Arabidopsis thaliana: one gene and its partners. The protein of the gene in region 2 interacts with the protein of the main gene of each other region in a pairwise test. Each region holds a gene or a part of one and is shown on either strand. Other genes may lie near its edges.

Region 1 (4,315 bases), on a different chromosome or scaffold from region 2:
TTGCCTCCTTTGTAGGTCATTAAAGAGGCTATGAGATTCTACATGGTTTCTCCTTTGGTTGCAAGGGAAACTGCTAAAGAAGTGGAGATAGGAGGTTATTTACTCCCAAAGGTATATTCAAACCCATCAAGCGGATTAGTCCATTTACAGTCAGCACTTGTAATCTATTACTTACCTTGTGGTTGTTGCTTAGGGGACATGGGTTTGGTTAGCACTAGGAGTTCTAGCAAAGGACCCTAAAAACTTTCCAGAACCGGAGAAGTTCAAGCCGGAAAGATTTGATCCGAACGGAGAAGAGGAGAAACATAGACATCCATACGCTTTCATCCCATTCGGTATCGGTCCACGAGCCTGTGTTGGACAGAGATTTGCCCTGCAAGAGATCAAACTCACATTACTGCATCTCTACCGTAATTACATTTTCAGACATTCCCTAGAAATGGAGATACCACTGCAGCTTGATTATGGTATAATTCTCAGCTTCAAGAACGGGGTTAAGCTCAGAACCATCAAAAGATTCTGATTCTTGAAACAAGTGAAATAAAAGCAAGACTGAAATTTATATTTAAATTCAAAACTCCAATGTAGTTCCAAAGGAAAAAGAACAATTAACAACATACACAGATATCTCACAACACACAAGACAACAACAAGCTGTTGAAACTCCAATCTAACAAGGTCACATTTAACCTCTCGGCTTCTCGAATCGAGTAGGAACACCGAGTGGTTTGGAGAAACTAACAAAAGGATCTGAGGAAGGACTAGTCTTCAATTCCCCTGTAAACATTCCAGAGTTCTTCATAAACTGAAACTCATCCATAGATTGCCTGAGACCGCGGTTAGTTCTTCGCTTAGCCTTTGTCGATTCAGTCAAGCTCATGTAACTTGGCTTGTGCTTTTTTGCTTGACTGCTAGAGTTATCTGAAACAAGTCCAGTTTTTCCAGAAACAGGCGTAGTTGAAGTACAAATCGAGGATGAACCTGAGCTCTCGTTAAACTCATAACCAGGACTTGAAGACAGCATATGAGGAGGAGGTTTTGCAGATACTCTAGTGGTCACATTGTTTCTTCTAACTTGAACAACATCCGCAGTTTCCGGTGATTTCAAATGTTTATGAGGCAGAGGAGGAGGCGTGGCAGCGGTATCAACAGTGTCCATAAGTCTAGTCTCCCATGGCCTAGCAGCCATCCAACGCTCCAACCAACTCCATCCCCAACTATTCTTATCAAACTCTTGACTTTTAAGATACGAAATCGAACTATTCGTCTTAAGGTTTGAGCTAGTAGTTGACCTCCATTGCTACACAAAACAAGATTCCCGATTCAGCTTCAGACACGAACTTAAACAAGATGTTGAATGTGGACAAGTTAGTTACCTTTTGAGCAAGAGCATAAGCCAAAGCACGTTCCCTCTTAAAAGCACCTTCTTGTCTCTGCTGCAACTTTGACTTAATATCATCCACAGTACCTTTCCTATCACACCACCCTTCCTGAGAACATAACAAATCTCAAAACAATAAACAATCATCAAACCAATGAGCTAAAAAGGTAAAGACAAGAACCTCGACTTCTTTCAAGAGATCAGATTTGGTTCTATGTTCATCTAAAAGCTTTTGAACAGCTTGTCCTTCAACAGTCATCCTCACACGACGAGCTCTAACACGAGCTTGTACTCTCACCAAAGCTTGCATGCATCTCAATGTAACAGCTGCTTGTTTCCTAACTTGTCTTCCTCTCACTAAAGCTTGTAACCTCACTATCCCTTTCAATGCCCTCAACGCTCTTCTCGCCTAATTAACAACAAATCCTCAAATTAAACTAAGTTCTATTCCTCTCAATTCTAATCAAAACCAATTAGCAAACTCACCAAGAATCCACGAAAAGCGGTTTGGATTCTAATAGCAGCCCATTCTTCTCTAACAGCTTTGAAATCTTTAGGAGGAGCTCTAAGAACAGTAGCAACAGCAGCAGAGTAAACAGTAGAAGAATCAACACCGTCTGAATCAGACCGATGTTTTCCTCGAAAACCCTTCCATGAATCTACTGAAGTAGTCCTCCATAGCTTCCATTTCTTGTTTTTCCCATTACCCTTTTCCTGAAAACAGAGTATCTCTCGATAAAGCTTTAACCTTTGAACGAGAGAACAAAAAAAAAAGATAATGAACTTACGATTTCATCCTTCTCTAGCTTCTTGAGACCGATAATGGACTTGACCCATTTCCCTGAAGCACCCATAGATTAAAAAGTTTCGATCTTTTTGGCTCGAATTCGTAGATTATTTTTTTCTTCAGGTATGTAGAAAGTTTGAGAGTGAGAGATTGATAGAGAGAGAGAGAATATCGGAGAATGTGAAGTTGTGGTGGTAATGGAGGGAGTGGTGGGTTAAAGAGAAGTTTTTGAAATTTGAACAAATCAAAGCAAAGCAACAAACAAAATATTAATAAAAAGTTTGCTCGAGTCTTTAGGCTTTTGTCTCTGATTGTGTTTTCACACTTATTTATTACTTACACAAACAAATGTGTCTGTGTCCTTCTCAGAGTTACAGGCATGAAAAAAGAAACCATGAAAAGGTACAATAAATTAATAAATATATATATATATGTATGTTAGGCTTTTTGTTGTTTTTTACTTTTTACAGTGACTCACTCATGTTCATGTAATACCTTGTTTTGTTTTATTATTCTTATATCATTGGATTCGAAATTTAAACTTCCCAAAATGTTGCAAATCAGATTTACGAAATACATTCTCTTTCGAAAAGCAATGTTTAGCTTTTGGATTTTGTGATTTGGACTGGTTAGACCTATCACTTGTCTAATAACCTCTATAACAGAACTTATTATCTTATATAATTATGACAAGGTTTTCTTTCTAAGACCATACACATTGGTCTTATGACTCAACAGTCAACACCCTATTTAACTCTCCACAAAACAGCGTTATAGCAATTTAAACTTTACAACTCTATTGCAAATTATAATAAATTATGCTCTCATAAAAAAACTAAATTCACGAGTGATTGATACAAAAAAACAACAACTGAAACGACAAAAGAACAACCTAAATTCACGAGTTAAAGAATCGAAAAAAATGCCCATGTATCTCCCAAATTTAGTTTTCAATATATATACTATTTTTTCTCGCTCATATTTAGTTTGAGTGAATCTTGTACATGAATCTATTTGTCTAGCAACTTTAAGATTAATTAGACATAATAAAAAAAAAAGATTAATCAGACAGAGAAAAAAGATGAACTCTGTAAAGATTGGGTCCTTAGCTATACAATGAAAATGAGATATATACAATTAATTCTAATTGATGATAACTTCTTAAAATAATAAAACAAAAATTACATGAAAACATGTACCACCGAAAACATGCACCATCACACTTGGGATTGAGTCCCGCTCGATACAAATGTAGGGATTTGGCTAATGGGCCGGACAATTGTGGCCCAATGTTGAAAAAAAACTACATGAAATACACAATGAAAGGAAAAAAATTCGATCCAAGAGTTGTTTGTCTGGCTAATGGGCCGGCCAATTGTGGCCCAATGTTGAAGAAAAAACTACATTAAACATACAATGAAAGTAAAAAAAATCGAGTCAAGAGTTGTTTCTGATATGATGTACATTAGCGATTAATGTGCTAACTCACAAATCAACCAGAATGGTGGTGGCATAGCTCTTAAAGAGGAAATGAGATAGAAACAATATGTTACAAACTAAAAATAAATCAAAATCATAGAGTATTACAACACACAAATAAATAAATTGGAAACAGACTCTACATGAAACCCATGAAATGAATTAGAAGAGAGAACACAAAAATATTGTATTAAATAAAATCTTTTGCCATTTTTCAATTGAGGATCATAATACATTGACGATGAAATCCAGAGATTGAATTCCTGATACCAAAAAAAAAAAGCAAATCAAAACCAACTATTGTTTTTTAACACAATTTAATCCACCTCATTTTCATCATCATTTGCAATATCCTATTAAATCAATTCAACACTCTCTATTGTAAATAATTTTAGATCATATTAAGCGGATCACTTTCGGCAAACGAATTCTTTAGACATAGGAGTGTAACTTTGGCTTTGGGTCGTTTTTCACATATCTTTGAAGGTAGAGAGAAGAGATAGTCAAAATCCTTTTTTAACTTCTTTAGTTGTTGGAGCTTTCTTTGGAATTTGACTAAACTTATGGTTTCTCTACTGTTGGACTAGGTTGGATTTCTTCATATCCAATATTATTTGTCCGTTGTTGACTTTTCTGATATAATCAACTTTCTTCAATTGAGGTTTTGC
Region 2 (6,235 bases):
GTATCTTACCAATACTTTTCCACCTTACCCACTTTGTTTTGTCTTCCCCTATTTAGCATTTTTCCCTCATTATTCTATAACGCGGAGTAGTACGGCTCGCGAAAAGAAAACCAATAAGTAGAATTATGTCTGGACAAATTTATATCATCAAAAATTCTCTAAAAGTTAACTTTGGATAATTTTAAATAATATCGTTAGTGAATTTTTGTAGATAGTCTAATATATCGTCAATGCATTTTGGTAAACGGCGAGGATATGATATCTCGGATTCTTTGTTAACGCTCCATGCGTTTTTATAAGTCATTGTCGAACCCTGATTTAATTCGGACTATGACTGACGTGTCAACGCTAAACTCTAATTTCACTGAGACTACAACTAACGTGTCAATGCCAAACTCTAATCCTTTTCGAGTTCAGTCATTTCAAAGTGTCAAAAACCAATAATCAAAATCTCGTGTTAGTGATTTTTAGGTTCTTATCACTGGTGCAAAACCAATAGTTATCAATAACAATTTTAGTTCTTTTTTCTAATGTAATTTTAAATTAGAAATATTCTTTTTACAATTTGTGTAACGTTTGTTTGAAGAAAATTAACAATTGCATTAGTTGTCAATTTTTGAGAATATTTTTCTATAATTTTAGAGAGGAAAAAATTACAAAGCACTTTGAGAAAAGGGCATATATCTCACACACCGCAAATCGACAACAACACCCGAATCTAATACTCACATGATTTATCTTAAACCCAACTTTCTTTTTCCTAACTCAACGTGAAACCGTACGTATGTCTTTAAGAAGACCCAAGACCTGTTGCATTGTTGGTCGCTTCACTGGCGTCTCCGCCGTGCAAAAGTAACCAATTCGAAGACTCTCTACCATCTCATTAACCGATTCTCCAGCAGCTAACCGCAATCTCGAGTCAAGAGCTTCCTCTCCTCTTCTCTCCTTAACCAACCGGCGAACGGATTTAACATTCTCATCACTCCCTTGCTTCCCGGTTAATAACTCAAACAAAATCACCCCGAAACTATACACATCGAATTCTACATTGTTTTTATTAGTATCATCTCCGGTTCTCGCAATGTTGTTGATACCGAAATCAGAGATACGCGGCTCTAGGGTTTCGGTTAGGAGGATGTTGGTAGCGACTAAGTGTCCATGAGTAGTACCAACGTGGTGTAGATAGGCTAAACCACGTGCAACTCCTATGGCGATACGGTGACGTATTAGCCAATTTGTTTTCTCCGGTGATGAGTCTCCGACGTGACTCTCCCATGTATCGGCACTCCAATCTTCCACGTTGGTTTCTCCCGCCGGGAGCTCGTGTAGCCATCGGTGAAGATCTCCGTTAGCCATAAATTCATATAATATAAGCTTCTCTTTTCCTAAAAATAATAAACCGCAATATTGGTTACGAACAAATAAATATAATACTGATTTTTTGTCACAAGTATGAATATTTTAAATTATATATGTAAATTAATATTGCATTTCCTAATTCACCCATACCAAATAAATTCAGTAAATTGTAAATCTTAGTTAAATACTGAAATTAATACAGTGATGCTAGACTATTAACTTTCGAATTCACTATTTAAACAGAGTTAATACTGCAAAACATATTATGGTAATTGGTAAACATGGTAAATATAATTAGGTAAAAAAGAAAACATATTTAGCATGTACGTAAAGAAAAAACGATTATTGAAACCCGACAAGCTATATATAATCTCTACGAGTCCCAAAGCAAAGGATGTGACTTGTCTGCACATATTTTAAAGTCGTCCCAGTCGTCCACTAACAAAAACACCAAATGAAACAACCCTAAAAACAAGTCATTGTAAGAAACTATCACACATATTTCTCTGAGAAACTTTTTGGAATAATTATACATTTTTACGTTAAGGTCACGAAAATTCATAAAAAAATTGTAATCATGGCACAAAAACCATTAGATTTTTTTTACGTGACGTACCATCATCACAGAACTGACTTCTTTCGTCTGTACTACAACGCATACGAAGATACTACTATTGAATACGACACCGTTCAGCATTTAATGCCTCATTAATGTGTTTATCCAAAAACCCGTGAAAGTAGAGACAAAAATTCATTAAATGACGTCTACGCCTCCACTATTTTATTGATTTATTCCAACCCCAATCAAAAAAATATTTTACATAAAAAAGAAGTCAAATCTTTGATATATTTTTGTTCTAAATTAGCGTATTCCACTAATTATAATTAGCAACAAAAAATTATATGATCTTGTTTATCTTTGTTTAGAAAAATAAAACTTAACTATTCTCTATTTTTTTGCTTGATATATACTTAACTTGTGAGATATTTACTTTGTTTAGTAACTTGGTTAAAAAAACGGAAAATATTTTGTTACATTACTACATATTATCCTTTTTTTTTTTGTCTAAAACTACATATTTATCCAAAGTTATATATACATTATAGCATAAAATTTATTTGCTACTTAGTCGAATCAAAGCATGTCCTATATTGGGGTTTTTAAGTCAATTTCAAAACTTTAGGTCGTAACTAAACCGAAATTAAAAATATTGGGAGAGATTAGTTTAGTACCTGCGATGCAATAACCGGAGAGAGTCAAAAGATTTGGATGTTTAAGCCGAGTTAAAGCTTCGAACGCAGTAACGGCGTCGTTTTGATCAACGTCTCTGATTCTCTCAAGCACTTTAATTGCCACGTGGAGATCTCCTGGTAAAACGGCACGGTAAAGTGGACCACAAGTGCCGTCAGAAATAACGGACTCCGTTCCGAAATGTGACGTGGCAACAATCAGATCCTTGAAAGTCAGATTCATCAACGGCTTAGATGCCATCACAACCGGAGCCGCCGTTGGCTCTTTTATATCGGCGACCCATGAAGAACCAGACTCCGTTCCGAATTCGAACGGTCCAGATTTCTCCATTTTGAAATCTAACGGTGTAGGATTCGAAATCGCCCATCTCGATTTCGTTCTCGCCGATTTCATTCTCCGGCGGATTAAAATTATAGCCGCAGCGAAGATTACGATTATCAAAGCTCCTAACGAAGACGATAGGCCAATCACCAAAGGAGTGTGATTTGTACGGTGCGTTTTAACGTTTCGTTGACGCACTGGTGGCGGATGCCGGTGTGGTAGACGGTGGATACGGTGGTGATAAGGGATTTTGGAATCGTTGAAGACGAAATCGCCGCCGTGTAAGAATGCTGATTTACCGAATTTTCGGTATTTGTCAAATCCAACCGAACCGGAAAACCGGTTTGCAGATAAATTCAAGAATTGGAGATGGTTGAGATTCGGAAAGTCAACCGGGAACGAACCGTTCATTGAGTTCTCCGATAAATCCAAGTAATCCAACGACTTTAAACCGGAAATCGGTTTAACACTACCATTGATTTTACATCTGGATATATCAAGGTGGCGTAAACCCGATAGAGAACCCAAACCAAGAGGCAAAACACCGAGACTGTTGTGCGAAAGATCGAGAGTTGTGAGGTTGGTAAATCCGGTAAAGTTAACCGCGTGTTTAAACCGATTGAACGAGAGATTCAACTCCTTAACCGCAGACAAAACCGAACCATTAACTGGAATCACTCGTATAGAGCCACCAAACCGGTTCCGAGAGAGATTAACGGAGACAAGACCTGGCATAGACCAGAGCCAAGTGGGAAGAGAACCATCGAGAGAGTTGTTGGAGAGATCAAGAACACGTAAGCGCGTGAGATTACGTATAGGGTTCCAAGAAACGGTGCCGTTTAGTTTTCTTGACGGAAGAACGACGTGAGTGATAACGGCGGAGCAGTTTGAGGAGAACCAGGAAGAGTTGAAACCGGAGACGTAACGAAAAACTGTGGTTAGTTGATGGAAGTCTGTGCCGTTAGGACAAGAAACTGTGGAAGAAGAGTCTGAGTGTGAGAAGGAGACCAAAGATAAGAGAAGAAACAACTTTAGAAACATGTTTTTAGTTTGTTGTTGAAGACTGTTCTTCCATGGAAGATAAAGAAATGGTGAAGAGAGAAAGATAGAGAGAGAGAGAGAGAGGGTTTAGTTGTTGCAGAATTTGAGAGGAGCTGGTGAGGTTTATCAGAAAAGAGAGAAGAGAGAGGGGGAGATACATTACATACGGTTGATAATATGCCAACGATGACGTGGATTATGATGCAAAAACTAAAAGTCAAATTGTTGTAAACTTGTAGCTCGATTAAATCTAGTGAAGTGATGGCAAATAATATTTTACTAAGACAAATTCTCTCTTCTTTAAATTAGTTATGTAAGATTTCAAAAATACAAAATATACTTATGCCTTTAAAATATATTTAACAATTTATTTTTTGTCTATATCGCATTACTCAAAATAGCAATCAATTTTTTTTTAATTGCATCTTTACTAAAAGATATTAATTGGGATTGTTTTTACAGCAATAAATATTAATAAACTTTTGATCAACTATTGAAGTGAAAAGATTTCCACTATTCATTTATTCTACGGATTCAAATGATTACAAATAGACTAATCATAGATATTTTTATATTGAAATAATTTGAATCAACAACGGTTTATGTTTATTGTCCATCTTAAAAATAAAGTAGATTAAACCGCTGATAAATTAGTTCGCAGTAACCGCAACATCCATTTATAACCTATATCGTCGAATTCCACTATTGTAAACAGTAAACACCAATATCAAAATTAATGCATGAACATTAGCTGTAGAAATATATAAAAGAACTTCACTGAATCATCTATCTTTAGGAAAATAGGATTCTGTAATCATGTTTTATTATCATCATTATCTTTATACGGTACTTTTTATTTTTCTTTTGTAAAAGTGAAAGTTATAACTAAAGTTTATATAGGAAATAAACAATTTTAATTATTTGAACTCATTGAATTAATTTACTTTGTGATAAATTGACACTATATGCATCAAAACAAAGAAATATATATATATATATATATATATATTCAGATTATATAAGATTAAACTTAGTGAATCAACTAATTTTAGTGATTCGGATAATTGATAAACTATTTTTCTTTAGTATTTATATTTCTTACTTTTCACTTTTTCAAAAGAAAAGAGAGGCAAAGAAAAAAGTACCTCGTAAAGATAATGATGATAAGTACATGATTGGTATCCAATAAATCAAAAGATAAATCATGCAATTCCTTTTTTTTCAATCATGGACAATCTGTATACTTCAAAAAAGGATAATCTCAGATAGGCAATATATTGAATTTAGTCTAATATTACGAAAGACATGCATCAATCATTATACTACTAGTACTATATAATTGTCCATTAGTATGAAAATGAAAAAAAAAAATCGGTGTAAACTGTGGAAATTGATTTACAGTTTGAGGTAAGACTACTAGCTTGTCATTATATACAAGAGACGTGTTTAAAACTTCAGTCACATTCAAACCATAATACAAGTAAAGAAACAGTATATAAGAGAAATTAACTAAAAACATTTATCAACAAAGAATCATTATATTGGATTAACTAAATTCTTAATATGACACTATTTTAGGATTGCATGTGATATTTTTTTCTGAAAATAATTGCATGTGATATTAAAGTGCAAAAATCAAAATACAGATGAATATCAACGTTGTCATATATATGCAACAATTTGTGTATTTATAACATTACGATGGAGATGAAAATGCTACTTTAATTGGCAGTATATATTTTCTGTTGTTGTTGTTTATGGGTTTGAAACTCAAGTGAAGTAAGCAAAGAGGTATATGGTTGGTGCGATGACTTTGTGTGGTAGTTTGATGCAGATGATGCGAAATAGAAACGTGGACCCTATCTTTTAACAAAATTTATTAAATTATCTATTTTCATTCGATGTTGTATCCTAGGTGTAATTTTGCATATCCTTAAATTATAAATAAAACGTGTTTTAAAAAATTTACGTATGTCTTGTAGTAAATGCTTATATTTATTACCATCGGTTATTTGTTGATGGGGTTGGTTGAAAAGTAAATAATGGTGTAGTTGAATCAAACAAAACAACAGTGTACTTTTTGAATAAAAAGATTTATTCGAGTCTACTGTTTTGATCTAACATTTCGGTTATTGAATATCAAAATTTACATTTAACTTATTTCAATAGGATTAACTTTTTTATTACATTATTTCATTAGGACTAACTTTTTAATTACATTAGCTGCGTAAAGCTTGATTATATTGATAAGTATGTAGTTAT
Region 3 (4,629 bases), on a different chromosome or scaffold from region 2:
CCCTCATAATTGTTGTTTGATATTGGTCTTGTATTTTGCAGAATGATGAGTCGGACTACTGGCTTCTCTCAAATGCTGAGATTAGCATGACGGATATTTGGAAAACTGACTGTATCCTTTGCATATATGCAATTTGTTTCTCTCTTATAGTTAACTATATCTATCTGCATAAGATATAAATACGCAATCCTTAACTCTAGCAAAAGCTGGTATCGATTGGGATTATGGAATAGCCGACGTGAGTACTCCACCACCAGGAATGGGCGAAATAGCACCAACAGCTGTTGACTCAACCCCGAGATGATCGAATACCAAGCACACTTCTCAACTTCTGATCCCAAATGTGTTACCTCACAACACTCCCTAAAATCATATACAAGGAGGGAGCAACTACAGAACGTGTATGAACCAATGGCAGGTGCGTTCCATACAATGTACCATTAGATTATGATTCATTTATCGCCTAGAGTGATGTTGTAGAGGAGCACCGAGAAACTAATGTAAGTTTAACAGAGAATGTACTTCATCGGCTGCATTGGTACACTATTTGATTATAATATTTTTGACCACTCAAATGCATCTTTATAATCAGCTATATGAAGAAATCCAAACTCAAATCAATATCCGGATTAAAGCGGGAAGTTTAAACGAAAACAAACACAAATATTCTCGCTGTATTAATACTTACTGCTTCAATTTACAGAAAACATGAAAAAAAAAAAAAAATCTGTTTTGTTTCAATTCAAAACTTTCATTCACTTTTCTTTCCCTATATATCTTTAAACAAACGAAAAGGGTTTCTTTGTCGAGTCACGTATATGTACGTTTGCGTTACTATGCCGCTGGCTGAGTTCTGGAGTTAGAACGTCGCAGCTTAGCTCGAGCATCAGTGAGGGGTGATCCCGGAATTGTATCAGGAATGTTGACTCCATCATCACCGTTAAATGTTCCGGCGGAGTCTCGGCCTGGTGTTGGTGGTGGTGTTGGTGGCGGCCACTTCCTCCCTCTGCTTGTTTGCTTCTCTAGCGATCGCAACGCAGATAGTGATTTGTTCAGCGGTCTTGGAGCGCGCGGTGATGGAGGATCATTGTCCATCTCCACCGGTGACTGCGCGTTCATGTTCACGTTCCTCTCCGTTGGCTTTAGCACAAACACAAAAATTCAAAAGTGCAAAAGGGAGGTAATAAACACAAGATTGTGTTTGCATTAGTACATAAAACGAAAATCAAAAGCGATAGAAAAGTACCGGTTGGTTAGCTGCAGCGGCAGAGAACCGGACCGATTGGGCGAGTACGTACTGAAAACCCTGGATCAAGGTGGATTGACCGGCCTGTGCATCAACATTATATGTATGTTGTTAATCTTATAATAATTTAGTCAAACCTTTAAAAAGAACAATTTGTATATATAAGTAATAGAAAGATAATTTAAAAAAGGACCTGGGCGAAGTTGTTGAAGTAAAAGATGAAAAAGTCCCAAGCTCGAGCTCGCAACTCCATGATCTTTCTGTCAATCTCTGTCTCGTGTTGAGCCATGTATGGCTTCAACAATGTTTCATACACATGTCTCGTTCCCTTCATTCATTATTTATTTCGTTATTATTATTTGTACATCACCATAAACCACTAATTAATTATGATCCAACTAATCACTTTTTAAAAGGAAAAATTATATTACCTTTGTTTTAGGGTACCAGAGATATACGAAGAAGACTACTTTCATCTCTCCGTATAACGGTAACCTGCAAATAATAATTGCATATATCAATTAATTATTTGATGATTGTTAATATTTTTTAAGACAGAGATGGATTAAGGCATGAATTAACTAATAATAAAACTTACTTACCATGAGATAAAAAAATCGCCAACCCTCTCGAATGATGAAATTAGCGCCAAAAGTATCCTAATTATTCAAATACAAATGTTTAACAAATTAATATTTTCGAGTACATATTGACAATAAACTATCATATTAGAATTACGTGCATCACATATATTGAGATATCTTTAAAATAAACCTAATACAATTGTCCCAGTAATCCCCAGACTAGGTATATAATCAACGTTCGAAACCAAAGACTTGTACAAAAGATGAGGTGTATTCATAAATGGTTTTTCTAGCAGAAGACATCAACTTAACGGAATTTTGATTTTTTTTCTCTTTTAAAATCAAACAAAAACCCATAACAGAGAAAAGTATATCACTATGATCGAACTAAAATCGATTTGCCTATCACTACAAATCTACTACATACACTACACATTATATATGAATGTTTAAAAGTATCGAGGATAGAAAAAAGGGGATCATATATAAATAATTCAATACCAGTATTGGCACCAAAATCTGAGTTCCTCGATATCAACTTTGTTCTTCTCCACCGTTTTAAAGCATTCGAATGCTGGGTATGTGTACCCTAATATCAATCTGCCATTCTCACCATTTCAATTATATATATACATCAATATACATGATTAATTAATCAAAAGAAAAAAAGAGATATGGTTAGGACATACACAAGGAGTCTGATGATGAAATCTCCCAACATCTTCGACCAGTTTAGACTTATCTCCTGTTACAATCATAACAAAACCGATTCAACAATCATATATATATCAGACGAATAGATCCATTTTTAAGCGTTTAACAAATGCAAATGAACCTAATGAAGAAGATCAAAGACGTTAGGAAGATCTCGTCCTCGTAAGAATTATTGAACGTATGAAGAAGAATATGAATGGAATTGGTGTTTTTTTCTTCAAGGAACCCAGAGGGATCAAAACTGCAAATGAGATCAAAACCATGTTTAATGGTTACAGAGTTTTATTATTAGAAGAGAAAAAAATATGTATAAGTTGTTATAAACAAACCTAAATTTATGGAGAGGGTGTCTCTCCGGGTTAAGCAAAGAAAAAATAAACAAAAACTTTGAATATCAAAGACAAAGAAAAAAAGAGGAAGATTATGAAGACGCGTAAGTTCTAAAATTGGAATACATCAGGGTTTAGTTTTTTTAGAAATATATAAACGTCAATAAACAAACAAAAAAATTACAAAAAGTAAACGGTTTCTTGCCACAAAAGCTACTTGAATTTGGGGGTAAGAGGAACGGGTTTACCGTTTGACCGTTTGACCGTTGTCTCATTATCCTCGTTATTTAACATTGTTCGACGCTTCATATGAATTTACAAAAAAAGTCCTTGAAGAATCAAATTAATTAAGTTTGACTGATTTTACACTAATAAATATATATTCTTCTGCTGTCCTTCAAAAAAAATACTAAATACGAAATTCTATAAACTACTAGAATATCTTTTGAAATCCATTAAAATCTCATCTAAACATCCTTTATTCAATGGATAATTTGAAGCAAACCTAGTCTTTTTTTTTTCCAAACAAACATAAACTCAAAATAATTCCGTTCCTTATTAATCCAAATTCTAAGTTTTTCACACATGAAAAAAATTGATCCTAAATGTATTATTTTTTGTGATTAACAATTTCCACACTTAAAATTTGTATAGAAAAATTAAAATTTGTATCTTTTTGCAACAAACTTTTTTTTGTAGAATTTGGAGTAATAAGGAATTGAGGAAGAAGTACTTAATAGTGCAGTGATCATAAGTGAGTTGTTACTTATGTTACTTATATTTTACACTAGGTAATCTCAAATCGAAAATCAGATTGATGGACAATATTATTACAACATTCTATGTCTACCAGGTTCCCATAAAAAAACTTCCACCTTTCATCGGCCTCTAAATATTAATCTATCAATAATTAAACATACTGTACGTTTTCTGTAAAGTTTTGTATTGTTTAACAGTAATGTTTATTTTTCTATTATATGTTGTAAAACAAAGTTTATACACCTTTCTAATGTACTTAGAGGAATAATAGTAATACTGGAAACAAAGAGTGGTCTGGATTTGTGTTGGAGGAGCTACGGCCTTTGGGTTTATATCCCTTGAGTGACAATTTATTTGAGTGTTGTAAAGGCGCTGTACAAAGCTCATGAAGGCCCAACACAAATCCATGTAAAACAAACTCTTATTGAGTACTTCTACAACTTCTCTTGTAATATTTGTTAACACCATGTGTAAATCCTAAAAAAATAATATATTCGAATTAAAATTTAAAACGTAGTTTAAAATAATTGTGTATGAAATGAATTAACGACCGTATAGTATAACTATTGAATGCAAATGACATACTAAAGATCATCTGACTTTTTGAAGAAAAAAAAGGTTAGATTTGACAAAAAGAAAAATATAGATCGTCCAACTAGAACCTAAATCGTAATGGGAAGGCTTAATTATATATGAAATACCATTATAGTTCATTATAGTCAACTTAAATAATAATCCTATATTCACATCTCATAATTTTCATAGATCAGTGGAGTAAGTATATGTCACATTAATGCTCATGAATGTAGACATTTACTAACATATTTTTAAAAGCTCACAAAAATTTAAAAGAAATTATAAACTGTCATTGAACATCAAATTAAATATTGTTGCTAAGAGTTTACTTCTCATTAATCCACCTCAGTCACCACATGCACCCTTTAATACCAATCCAAGTAGACTCACTCTCCCTCACACACTCTCTCTCTAAAATCTA
Region 4 (4,037 bases), on a different chromosome or scaffold from region 2:
AGTCATAGGATGGATTATGGTTTTGATAAGGTAAGTGAATAAGCGCCTATTTGCTGGATTAAGTGGCATAGTCGTTGGGAGTTAATTAAGGACACCCACGGGCCACGGCCAAGTATGAAAATTGTAGTCTATCTATCTTGAATGATCTTTTCGCTTGGATTGACTAGAGTCTCTCGTGGTCCCAGACTCTTGCCCTAAAAAATCTAAATAAGGAAAGTTCCTTATTTAACCGGTTTAATGCCCGTAGTAAATATTATCGGTTTGTGAGATGGTCTGAGCCGGTCCGGATCGGGTCATAGGGGGTCTGGGACGTAATCAAGCTGGATAACTCTCTTGGGTTGGGCCGTAATCCTTCTTGGGTCGCTATTTGGTCACTATCGCAAAAATTGGCTCATATAAAAAGGTTTGTTGAAACATGCCTTGGTTTTTGTTCTTGCAGAGTTTCTGTTTGGGTCACCTTCTCCTCCTCCTCTTGGATGGACATGGATTTAAGGTCCACAGCGGGTTCAATTGCATCTCCGATAAACTAGATATCGGTGCGTTTTTCCACAGCCAGTCTATGTAATACAATGTAGCTTCATTCTTGATACATGATTTTTATGACTTCAATGATGAGACTGAACATTATATTGCGCAAAACAAAACTGATGAAACCCTCCATGTCAAACGATTTGTGATGAGTTTTCGGTAATCATACGTTATATAAAGCTACATGATGAATCCCTGAATGGCTAATTCTAAGCAGGGACGTAATAAAAACCTGTCACAATTTTCTAAAACACACTCAGAAAATAAAGAGAGAGTGGTTGATAACGCAGAGCGCAAGCGCATAAATCAAAACAAATGAAGTAGATCATCATCTTCCGTGAAGCTATAGACCGCAGAGAGAGTGAGCCTGCAAAAATGTTTTATGGACTCGGTAAGTAACTTCATAGTAGAAGAACCAAAGTAAGTGAAGATGTTAATAGGAAAGCTAAAGCTGTAGTTTTTTTTACCTAAAGACAACCATGATGAAGAGAAAGACGTAGAACCCGAGCTTGGTATACCGGAGCTTCTTTTCAAAGCTGATACCACGGAACACTTCAGTGACATCGATGAGATAACGTCGCTCTTTGTATCTGAAGAACAATGGGAGGCGCGTATTTAGTTTCCACGCATGTCAATCAAGAATCATAAGCAATATGGATGGATATAGATACTTACAACATTGCGTGATAGACTGTTACAGGGACGGCGACCAGAAAGAAGACCCAATGCCATGTGAGGAGGAAGAGAAGGCAGAGTGACCCTTGGAGGATAAACTCAGGTATTACTAATCGGTTGATACGGGTACTTGTTTCAAAAGGGTTCAAGTAATCAGCTTCTAAATCCGTTAAGCAGATAACCTACAAAATCACACACGATATCAATAGACTAAAAAGGAATCTCAATGCTTCAATCATTAGCAGAGGCAGTTAGTATGAGAGTAAACACTATTGGTAGTAGTATCTAACTTCATTCATTCACAGTATATAACTCGCAATTAATCAACTATATGTCTCAATTGACCAAGTATCATATACAAGCCTTGCAGACAATCCAAATCAGAACTAAGAACAACTTTGAGTTAGAAGCATAAGATTAAGGATAAACAATGAAACCTCTCTGGACCCAAAAAATTGTCAATTGTATTTAGTACAAAACCGACGAACACAAAGGAAAATTGTTCCATTCCTAATTTTTTAGCTAATTCGAACAAAAAGCTAAGTTGCTCGGTGTTTTTTCACAAGTACAATTCCGACAATCAGGATTTGAACAGTAAGGACAGATCTCGATTTAAGAATCTTAATGGAAAGTAAAAGGGGACAAACAAAGTAGATAGATTACCTGGTAGAAGACGGAAGCGACGAGAGCCAAGCTAACGAAGAAGGAGACTATCCATAAAAACAAATCCCAAGCCATATTTGCTCTCTTCAACAATTACGATTCGTCTTTTTGCGACTGCGACTCTTCTCCTTAAATACCTTTGAAAAAAAAAGAACTCTTCTTCTCTCAACAATTGGTGTACTTTACTTTGGGGTTCTATTGGACATTAGATTCTTCTTTCCTTTTTATTATTACTTCTCTAGTTTCTTTTTGTGAATATCCTTTTTGTTAAATTCCTTTTTCTTTTTCAACAAAAAAAAAAGATGCTTGGTGTTAATTAATAAAGAACTAACAAAATTTATTAACTGTATGCCATTTAGGCCTATACAAGCCATATAAGTAAATAATTTCATTTTTTTCTTCTCTTTTAGAATAATTATTTGGTTCTTTTAAATAAGTTCACTTGAAATTTGTTAGTTCTTTATTTAGGCCTATACAAGCCAAAGGATCCGTCCACTCTCCTCTTCCCGAGAAACTTGGTTGATACCGTACGTTTATATGTTACATTGTAACAAAGGCTTGTTTAGTTATCAACTGATTATGATGCATTACTCGACCTGATTGTTTTTGCAGGTGGAGAAGTCCTAGGACCCGGTGATAGAATTTCTCTTCTTCTGAAGATCCAGACGACATACACGTGGGACCCTGAGCTTTTGAACTGGTAAACTCACTGCTTTTTTTGTTGTTGGAAAAAAGACAAAAAGTAAAAATACACATTGTTTCCTAGCAAATACACATTAGTCTTCAACTTCTAAGAAGCAACAAATGTGATCTAATTTACGCTAAAAACATTGGTCTCCATTACAAACACGAAACCTAAATTTCACAAACTACTACATAATCTTTATTTTTTTCTAGACTTCTTCGATGATCTCCGGCTTTCAACTTTTCTCTGAGCAGCTTCGAACTCTTCTTCGTTTGGCTCAGAGTCAGCATTGCTACCATACCTAGAGACAAGTGAAGAGAACATTGAATCGAACTTCTCTTTCCTCTCATCTCCCCGCTGGGACATTACAGCGTATAAATCTTTATCTGCAGCCTTTGCTGCTCTGAAAGTATAGAAATTTTGAAACAGGTCACAACAAAGATAACTTCAGAGGGCATTTATTGGGGTGGAAAAGGTAGACAAATAGAAGCTTACTTCCGTCTCATCTTCTGGGGATTCGTGGGAGGTTCCATTTCTGCAATCTCCTTTGCCCATTTCTTGTAAGCTTTTGTTGATTTCACTTCTCCTGCAGATGTTAAACAATGGTATGCACAAACAAATCAGAACCTGGATAGGTTTTATAGACAAAAGAATTATTGCAAGAAAGAGAAGCCTACCCGCTGCAATGGCCTCATCGATAATATCTTTGAAACGGTGCGAATCAAGCTTGGGGTTCGAGCAAAGCATTGAGCAGAAAAGCCTGAAAGAGATATAGTACCAATAATGTTTATACAAACTTCAACTCACAAACTTGACAATAATGAAAACAAGGGGATGATTAATTACCTGCTCATTTTACCCTTAAACTTGTTATATAGCTCAATCAAATCATTCTTCTCGGATTCAGAACCCCTATAGTTGGCCTCAAACTCTTCAATATCTTCCTCGGTGACCTATAGCACAAATGATCAGTATACAGAACGAAACAGTTGTGTTGCAAAGTCCAAAAAGAAATCAATTGTGAATCATGATTCTTACCTTCTTGTACATTGCCTTGAAGAAGTCCCTCAAGTTGTCAACCACATCTCCCGAAAGATCCTAATGAGATAGGGAAATAACCAGTTTGTAAGAAAATCCTCCAGTACCTTTACTTAAGTTGAAAACTTTCTTTCAACTTACAGCATCATCAACTGAGCCAGTTTGATCATAGACTGCTCTTTTCTCTTCATCACCGAGAATCGAAATAACCTTTTGCAACTGCTGAAATTTCTCTTTAGCATCCTGTATTGGATAAGAAAAACAAGAATTCCGGTTACAATGTAAAATTGAATAGACCCCTAAAAACTAAGAAAAGTAAAGAAACCAAAACCCCTCAGTTAAACCTCATCATCCTTGTTTTTATCAGGATGAAGCCTCAATGCTAACTTATGATACGCTTTCCTTATCTCTTGTGGAGATGCTGTTGCTTCAACACCAAGAACCTTCA

Evidence for each region.
Region 1: the proteins of MEE62 (region 2) and IQD6 interact in a protein complementation assay, tested with the Arabidopsis thaliana proteins (one large-scale study listed by BioGRID).
Region 3: the proteins of MEE62 (region 2) and HVA22J interact in a protein complementation assay, tested with the Arabidopsis thaliana proteins (one large-scale study listed by BioGRID).
Region 4: the proteins of MEE62 (region 2) and AT3G12180 interact in a protein complementation assay, tested with the Arabidopsis thaliana proteins (one large-scale study listed by BioGRID).

The regions. Positions count from the first base shown.
Region 1 is NC_003071.7:11,142,748-11,147,062, forward strand, and holds IQD6 (IQ-domain 6), read right to left. Parts: upstream 2,357-4,315; 5' UTR 2,236-2,356; coding exon 2,170-2,235; intron 2,096-2,169; coding exon 1,868-2,095; intron 1,791-1,867; coding exon 1,563-1,790; intron 1,491-1,562; coding exon 1,377-1,490; intron 1,301-1,376; coding exon 686-1,300; 3' UTR 543-685; downstream 1-542. Other genes in the region: CYP711A1 (cytochrome P450, family 711, subfamily A, polypeptide 1), read left to right, coding at 16-111, 194-523. UniProt on the Arabidopsis thaliana protein: May be involved in cooperative interactions with calmodulins or calmodulin-like proteins. Recruits calmodulin proteins to microtubules, thus being a potential scaffold in cellular signaling and trafficking.
Region 2 is NC_003076.8:18,575,000-18,581,234, forward strand, and holds MEE62 (Leucine-rich repeat protein kinase family protein), read right to left. Parts: upstream 4,243-6,235; 5' UTR 3,974-4,242; coding exon 2,593-3,973; intron 1,825-2,592; coding exon of another isoform or gene 1,733-1,824; exon of another isoform or gene 1,386-1,732; coding exon 766-1,385; 3' UTR 521-765; downstream 1-520. UniProt on the Arabidopsis thaliana protein: Can phosphorylate the myelin basic protein in vitro. Required for endosperm development in embryos. Maybe involved in auxin and osmotic stress responses.
Region 3 is NC_003071.7:15,122,590-15,127,218, forward strand, and holds HVA22J (HVA22-like protein J), read right to left. Parts: upstream 3,000-4,629; 5' UTR 2,874-2,999; intron 2,786-2,873; 5' UTR 2,666-2,785; intron 2,576-2,665; 5' UTR 2,552-2,575; coding exon 2,520-2,551; intron 2,431-2,519; coding exon 2,332-2,430; intron 1,906-2,331; coding exon 1,849-1,905; intron 1,742-1,848; coding exon 1,678-1,741; intron 1,575-1,677; coding exon 1,440-1,574; intron 1,331-1,439; coding exon 1,247-1,330; intron 1,141-1,246; coding exon 835-1,140; 3' UTR 531-834; downstream 1-530. Other genes in the region: E2F3 (E2F transcription factor 3), read left to right, coding at 42-111, 207-304.
Region 4 is NC_003074.8:3,881,368-3,885,404, reverse strand, and holds AT3G12180 (Cornichon family protein), read right to left. Parts: upstream 2,076-4,037; 5' UTR 1,942-2,075; coding exon 1,867-1,941; intron 1,386-1,866; coding exon 1,204-1,385; intron 1,119-1,203; coding exon 996-1,118; intron 896-995; coding exon 835-895; 3' UTR 541-834; downstream 1-540. Other genes in the region: AT3G12170 (Chaperone DnaJ-domain superfamily protein), read right to left, coding at 2,750-2,954, 3,047-3,137, 3,229-3,311, 3,398-3,504, 3,590-3,649, 3,731-3,832, 3,934-4,032.